2 linked regions of the Daphnia pulex genome follow. The protein of the gene in region 2 interacts with the protein of the main gene of each other region in a biochemical or structural test. Links are inferred from orthologs where the notes say so. Each region holds a gene or a part of one and is shown on either strand. Other genes may lie near its edges.

Region 1 (3,522 bases), on a different chromosome or scaffold from region 2:
TTCTGGACCCATCTCGAACTACTACGAAAATGCAAATTTGTCGGTATTGAATCAAAGTTTGAATTTTTACGATAGCAAACGTGTACTAAAAAGTTTTATGCAGGGGTGATTCAAAAACCAGTGCCTTATCTTCAGTATATCACAACTCCATTGACAGTTAAATCTGATACTTCCAGAATGCCAAGACCGCCTGTTAAAGTTGTTACTCCAGCAAAAAGGATTCCCCTTGAAACATTTTCCTCGCGTTCGTTCTCGATTGCTAACTCAGGAAACCGAACAGGTATTTAAAAAATATAGTATATGTATGCTTTAATGATCAAGGTGATTTTAACTTGAATTAACTTGTCCGTTTCACAGGCAGCAATGGCCAGGTACAACTCTGGCAGTTTCTCCTTGAGCTGTTGACCGATGTGAATTTCCGGGATGCTATTTCTTGGCTTGGGACAGGAGGAGAATTCAAATTAAATAACCCCGAAATGGTGGCTCAACTATGGGGAGAAAGGAAAAACAAACCACACATGAACTATGAGAAACTCAGTCGAGCCCTGAGGTATTATTATGATGGCGATATGATTTGCAAAGTAAGCGGTAAACGATTTGTGTATAAATTTGTTTGTGACCTCAAACAACTGTTGGGCTATTCGGCTGATGAACTTAATAAGCTTGTAACAGAGTGTGAGCAACGATCCAAAATGAGACGGGCAAGTTCGTCATACGTGTAAATACAAAACGTATTTGTTTAAATCATTGAGAATTGACGCCATTAATGATAAAATTAAGTTGTAATGCCGTTCAAACAATTTTTTTTAACGACCTTCTAATACCTTTTATAGCCCAATTTCAATAACAAAAACATGTTTTATAACATACTATATTAATTACATAACAACACAATTTTCGGCACCAGGTCCCATCGATTGAGCAAAATCCGCGCCACCGAAGGGATTCGGTAGCAGTTCAGCTTCACCAGCCAGTTCCTTGAAATTAAGATTTTTCATTAAATGAAAATCAATCAAATTATTCGTAGTCGCACTCACTTTAGGGGGATGGCCACATTCTTGCATTTGTTGCATCAAAGTTAATATCTTTTCAAAGCGACTATTTTTCGTCGCTGCATCATCAGTGTCGTTATCATTTTCGAATTCGGTACACACTTGCTGCATAACGGCGTATTGGCGGTTGTATTTTTCAAATTGCGCAGGTTCTAATTTCGGCCGATTGTCTGCGAGCCAATCTGGGTACTAAGGAGATAACAATAAGTTATGAGAGACAAGATTGACTATCATCAGTTCTCAAGTGAATGCTTACCTTGCTAACAATCTCTTTGATAGATGGATAAAGCAACTCCTTTGATAACAAACTTTGAAGCATTCCTTGCATTGCAGGTAAAATGTCACCCAAACCTCCCATATCTCCACCAGCACCATCTCCAAATCCCCCATCTGGTCCAAATGCCATTTTTTCAAGCATTTTGGCTAATGTAGCTTCATCAGCTTCAGTCTATGGAAAAAATAAGGACATGTTAAAGTAAAAATAAAAAAGTTTGGTTTATCCTACCCACAAAAATTTACCTGAAGTGATTCTGTTCCTTCTGCTAAATAGCGTAGAGTATCAGCAAAGGATGCTCCCTGGTCTGGTTGTCTTTCAAATACTTTAGCTGCAGCTTCTTGTGATACCTTTAACAAACTTTCAGCAAATCCAGAATCACCACTGGCCCCTGGTGCTGTTTCTGCCATCATCAAACGAATATTTTTCTCAAATTCCAAACTCGCTTCTTGAATAAACTCCTCAGACCACACAACATCTGATACTTGATCTGTAGGTGCTGCTGCTTCGGCTTTAACATTGTCTTTTGTTTTGGGCACTTGCAGTGGCTTGTCAAATCCTTCCAGGGCATCTGTTACATTTAATGAATGTTTTATTCCTTTGTTGGCAAATAACTAGTTAGTTTAAACTACATACCGTCAAGTAAAGCGTCTAGTTCTTCGTCATCTCCTTTAGATTCTTCTTTAATATCTGCCGTATCTTGTACAGACTTTGGATCATTAGAACCGGTTCCACTCATACTGAAATGTATCTATTTACAGCAAAGTACAGAATTGTATAAGTAGAAATAGATTTCGATATCAATAATATCGACACAGGCTTCAAAACTTGCTCATCCGGAAATTTCGACAAGGAAAAGAGTGCAAGACCAGACAAGACGACGAAATACTACCTCATAAATAAAACGCGATGTTGCCGAAATCATTCGGTATTTAGTGATGGTTCGTGCGTGCGTGAATGAAGCAGATGCGCTTCATCATGATTCATGAATGCTTGTTTATTAAAATTATATTTGGCGTGAAAAATGAATTAAAACAAATCACTTTTTTTTTAGGTTTTGAATTTTGCGTCTTTATTGGGAGAGTAAAATGTATTTTTTGTTCTGAATAACAGAAGCGACTGCTCATTCATAAATATTTTCTAAACCTAACAGTAATATTTCGTAACATAGTCAAAATCAAAGATTTCCATTAGGGCGGTTGCTTTAAGCTTAGTCTTGCTTTAACAAATGAAAACAGAACATCGAACATGTCGTTATATCCCGTTGTTACCAGTCGAGCAGTCGTTACCATCCCGCCTTTGCTTCAAAGTTCAAATCAATTTCACTTACCTGCCAGACCCAAATTAAAAGCTATGAAAGAAGGAATTTTGAAAAAGTACGTTCAGTTGGTAAAGGTAATATGTCTTCCGACAAAATGACAGTAAAAATTGTGATATTCTATAACGTACACGGTGGTCTGCCTTGCCGCAATAGTGCTTGTCCATTGCTGATACCAAAATCAATACATGAGTAGTAGTTTTCACTGATCCTCCAATATCTTGCTTCGTTTTATTCTTCCTCTTCTCTTCTTCACGAATTGCTGTACTACCGATTCTGGAATGACACATCGCGAATGTTCACCAAATCAAGAAAATTCACCATCTAGCCTACCTGGTATGATTTCGAGATGGTGGAGTCATTTTTTTTTTTAAGGCAAACTTCAATTGCTTAAAAAAATAATTGACACATAATGTGTTGAATGCTGATAAAATGGAAATTCAAGTATGAATCAAAATGAGTGAACTTAAAAAAATGCAAGTAATGCATCTGTATTTCATTCATTAAAAATGTAAACATTCAACATGACCTGCACCAACCCAATTTCACCCCTGATACTAGTTAATAAAAAAATTTTGGTTTTAAACACGCGATCCATATTCTAACAGAGTTTTAAATCATTTTAGATAACAGCTTATAGCTGTAACGGATTAATAACCTTTATGTGATAAAGTTACAGGACGAACATTTAGGCTGCAATTTCTATTGGTAATGAATTCGGCTGAAGTTCGTTTGGGGGACATTTTTACTCTTTAAAAAAGACACAGTTTAACCACTGTTAAACGAGAACAAATGATCATAGCCAAATGATTCGTAGCACCTCCTAAGTACTAATAAGACCGGGGAAAACTGTATGGGTGCTCAGTATTTGCATGTAA
Region 2 (3,889 bases):
TTCCAAAATTGTGAGATCCGTTGGTGACCACGAGAAGACTCTCCGTGACCAGGCCAAAAAGATGAACGTTACTTCCCTGCGCAGCAACCGCGATCAAAATGAAAAATCAGCTGAGGTTCGCATTGCTAAAGTTGCAATTGCTCTCGCCACCTTGTTCGTTTTCGCTTGGACTCCTTATGCCTTTGTGGCTCTCACAGCCGCTTTTGGAAATAGGTGAGATAATACTTTCAACAAATTTGTTCTCAAATAAATCACCATCGTCATCTTTTCACAGGTCCGTCCTGACACCACTTCTGAGCACGGTGCCTGCCTGTTGTTGTAAATTGGTATCCTGCATCAACCCATGGATCTATGCAATCAACCATCCCCGTTATCGGTAACACATCTTATTCATAGTGAAATGACAGTCATTCTTACCACATTTTTCTTCATCCTTTCAGCATGGAACTGCAGAAGAAAATGCCCTGGTTCTGCATTCACGAGCCTGTTCCTACCAACGACGATTCGAGCGTCGGTTCGGCCACGACAGAAATGTCTGGTGTCTCCAAGGAAACTTCTTCGTAAAATCTGCATAGCCTTTAATTATTTTGACCAAGGACCGAAACAGGATCATGAACATAACCTTCCGAAGAAAAAATCATCCATAGCAATTAGTAGTAGTTTTAATATCCCACAATATATATTGATTTGTTGAATTACAAATAAACAAACCCAGCATAACAAAAAGGAGTCATCATCACTTAATCGTACGATTTCGTCAACATTTGAGCGTTTCCTATTCACAAGCCTCTAAAAATTGGGGTAAAAAAAATTTGAATAATTTCACAAAGGCCGCCAATAATTTCAAACGCCTTAAATGTTTTTGAGGCTTTGAATATGAGTAGTGGCCCAACTCCATGACTGATAAAAATATAGCTCGAAATAACTGAATGGCATCAAACAGCTAACAATTTACTTTTGGACAAGGTTATTCCTTTGGTTTAGCTACTGTATATCAGTCAAATGAATTATTTGGGAGTCGAACTTTCGTGTTTGGCCAAAATTTTGATGTAATTCGCAGGTACGAGGCCCGTGTGTTGTGAATCGGTGCCGGCAAGCATCCAGCCTTTGATGCGAGGCTGAAGGGAACGGGGAGCCAAGCGTAGGGATTGGCCAGCTCTGAAACTTAATTCTTGTTCGTTTCCGGCATTGAAATCATAATCTGCCTGAGCAGTATAATATTCTCCTAGGCCATCAGCCCACTTTTTTCCTAGAGCATTAAAAGATTAGATAATTTGAATAAGCGAGTTTATGAAACAAAAGTTAGTGTGTTAACGCACCTAGTGCATCCGGAGCACTGTCTAGGGAAGATATGATCCTCCATATGAAATATGGGGCAGAAATGATTATGGCAAGGAACAAGGTGATGGGCCATGATGATCTGGACTTTTTAATATCAGCTTCAGTCAATAGACCCGCAGATAAGGCATCCGAATTTGATACGGCAGTGGACCATGCCGTATTGATTGGATTTTCTCGTCTCAAACCTGTAAACACAAGGGGGTTTAGTTGATAACAATGGCTGCAACTACTGCGTCGAGAATTTGCATAATCAGACATACCAAATATGTAGAATAATTTGTGTAGAGCCCATTTTGCCGTACGAAATATGGCCAATGCAGAAAACACCTTGCTTAAATGTGTTCGCATTCGGGAAAACTGATCAGCCATACCCAATACGGCTCTGAAAGAGCTGTAAACAGCATTCAAGGTTGAATCCAGCATCATGCTAATGGAGCTAAATGCATGGACAATTGATTCCAAGCTCTGAAATGCAGGTTGAGAACTCTCTTCTGCCATGGAAATAAACCTTGTTTGAGAAAAAATAATGAAATTGTTGAATTGTTGTAAGTATGATTATTTTAATTTTTAAAATTTTACCTGTTATCACTTGTCCCTCCATAACTTCTCCCTCCATAAGAGTTGTAACTTCCATATCCACCATAGCTGTTACCATAGCCTCCATAACTAGTACCATAGCCACTAGAAAGTCCCGAATAACCCCCATATCCACTACTGTAACCGTAAGGGCTTGAATAACTTGAAATGCCTGTTCGATATGGAGAATAGCTTGAAACTGCACCATAATCATTGTTTGTTGGGTTTGCCCCGGGTACTCTAGGAGGCAGTGGTGGGACGCCAGGCCCTGAAGCTGTAAAAGCACTTCCTCCACCCCCACTAAAATAATCAAAACAGATATTGATGAAGGTAACAAACCAAACAAATGAACTAAACACAACATGTATTACGCACCTGACGATGGGTGTAGGTAAGGTGTTGCCAATGTCGCCACCAAAAGCTCGTGAATTTACACCAGCCCTTTCCCACGGCTTTAATGGAGCTGCCATGGCGTTGAACGATTCAGACTAAAAACTCGAAGACTTTGCCTCGATTTGCTGATAAATCCAGCGAACTCTGATACAGAAAACGGAATCGACTTGTCAACAACAAGACGACACCATTATAAAAATTCCGAAACGAATGAGATGAGTTTGTACACCGGTAGATGGTAGTAGTGTGAAAATTTCTTTCAATTCAAAAATCTGCCGCAAACTTTTAAATACGTTAAGGATATAACTAAGTAACAATACACACGCGTTGATGCGTAATATCCTTGTCTGTTTACTTTTACTGTTTTGAAATTAAGTCTGACGACTATTTCAAATTTAATCAGATTTATTAATATCTTTTTTTTTACTGCAACATATTCAACATAATCGACAATGAAGTTTGATTATAAGGAATGATTCGGATGAAGCTAAAATGCTTGGGAAACCACTCAACATAATCTAAACATGTCAGGGATGAAGAAAGGGAGAGAGAGAGAGTGAAAAAAAGTTGAAGTAGAGAGCACATCATAAATAGGAATTGAAGAAAAAGGTTCTCGGATTCACGCTGGCAAGCAATCACTCCGGTGAGATTGAATTTCTATTCGTTGTCGTGCAGCAGCCAATTATTGGAGCTGCCTAAGGCTATAGGATTGGGGAAGGAGGAGAGTTGGGAATGGCCTCCAAGTGCCTGCACACAGCAGCACAGCTCTCACCAACCCGGTTCTCTGGTAGTAGTTGTGTAATAATTCTGCTGAGTGCGGTCGTGAAGCGTGCGTGATTCCTGATGTGTATTCAACCACCATTGCCCACCCCCCTATTCAGCCAACGTCGACTGCCAATAGGTTTCATGAACGCCTGCACGGCAGCGTTATGTAAAGAACTCGGCTCTGAATAGAAACTGCTAAACATCTCACTGAATAGTTGGGGCAGTCATTTCATAACAAACCCATCAAATCAGGTTCTCTTTTTAAAAAGTTATGAACGGAATCCTCCACAAAATCAGAGAGCAACGAGAAGAATATTTGAACAACAAAATCCGAGAATTTTCGAAGGATTGAATCTATAACAAACAAACTCTCCAACGTGAAAATTTCTCGATAAATATTCACCGTGAATACGACCATCATTAGATTGAAATGTAGTGGGCGTTATGAAAGAAAGTGAATTCATCTAATGCATCCTCTTGATCTTATAGCCCTGGCGCAACGTAGAATACCGTGCCTAAATATCTGGGCTGCGGTTGTTCATTCCGACCATCTGCATCTTTTCCGATTAGCCTTAAAAACGAGGAAAATAAATATTCAGCCAGACATCCCCATCAGCAGACATTACACATTTACCAGGACTGTGTCCACACATTCTGGTGTAAAGAGTGAAGCGAAAAAATCGGCAGCACATAGTAACCAACAGTGATGTTATTACCATGATAAACGCGACGAAAACTGCAGCTGGCACTGCACTCTGCATGCGGCGCTTCTGCTGTTATTGTCCCGCCATAACTGTGTAATTATCAAGTCAAC

The links.
Region 1: the proteins of peroxisomal membrane protein PEX13-like (region 2) and peroxisomal biogenesis factor 19-like form a complex in vitro, tested with the Homo sapiens proteins (2 studies listed by BioGRID and IntAct, with this or other methods). The link is inferred for Daphnia pulex from reciprocal best matches to the Homo sapiens genes PEX13 and PEX19.

The regions. Positions count from the first base shown.
Region 1 is NC_060022.1:6,085,243-6,088,764, reverse strand, and holds peroxisomal biogenesis factor 19-like, read right to left. Parts: upstream 2,223-3,522; 5' UTR 2,066-2,222; coding exon 1,963-2,065; intron 1,898-1,962; coding exon 1,572-1,897; intron 1,501-1,571; coding exon 1,309-1,500; intron 1,242-1,308; coding exon 1,038-1,241; intron 978-1,037; coding exon 879-977; 3' UTR 764-878; downstream 1-763. Other genes in the region: DNA-binding protein Ets97D-like, read left to right, coding at 1-43, 104-280, 358-722. UniProt on the Homo sapiens protein: Necessary for early peroxisomal biogenesis. Acts both as a cytosolic chaperone and as an import receptor for peroxisomal membrane proteins (PMPs).
Region 2 is NC_060017.1:2,686,614-2,690,502, forward strand, and holds peroxisomal membrane protein PEX13-like, read right to left. Parts: upstream 2,518-3,889; 5' UTR 2,388-2,517; coding exon 2,293-2,387; intron 2,218-2,292; coding exon 1,921-2,217; intron 1,850-1,920; coding exon 1,602-1,849; intron 1,527-1,601; coding exon 1,320-1,526; intron 1,250-1,319; coding exon 1,008-1,249; 3' UTR 658-1,007; downstream 1-657. Other genes in the region: opsin, ultraviolet-sensitive-like, read left to right, coding at 1-213, 275-376, 441-564. UniProt on the Homo sapiens protein: Component of the PEX13-PEX14 docking complex, a translocon channel that specifically mediates the import of peroxisomal cargo proteins bound to PEX5 receptor.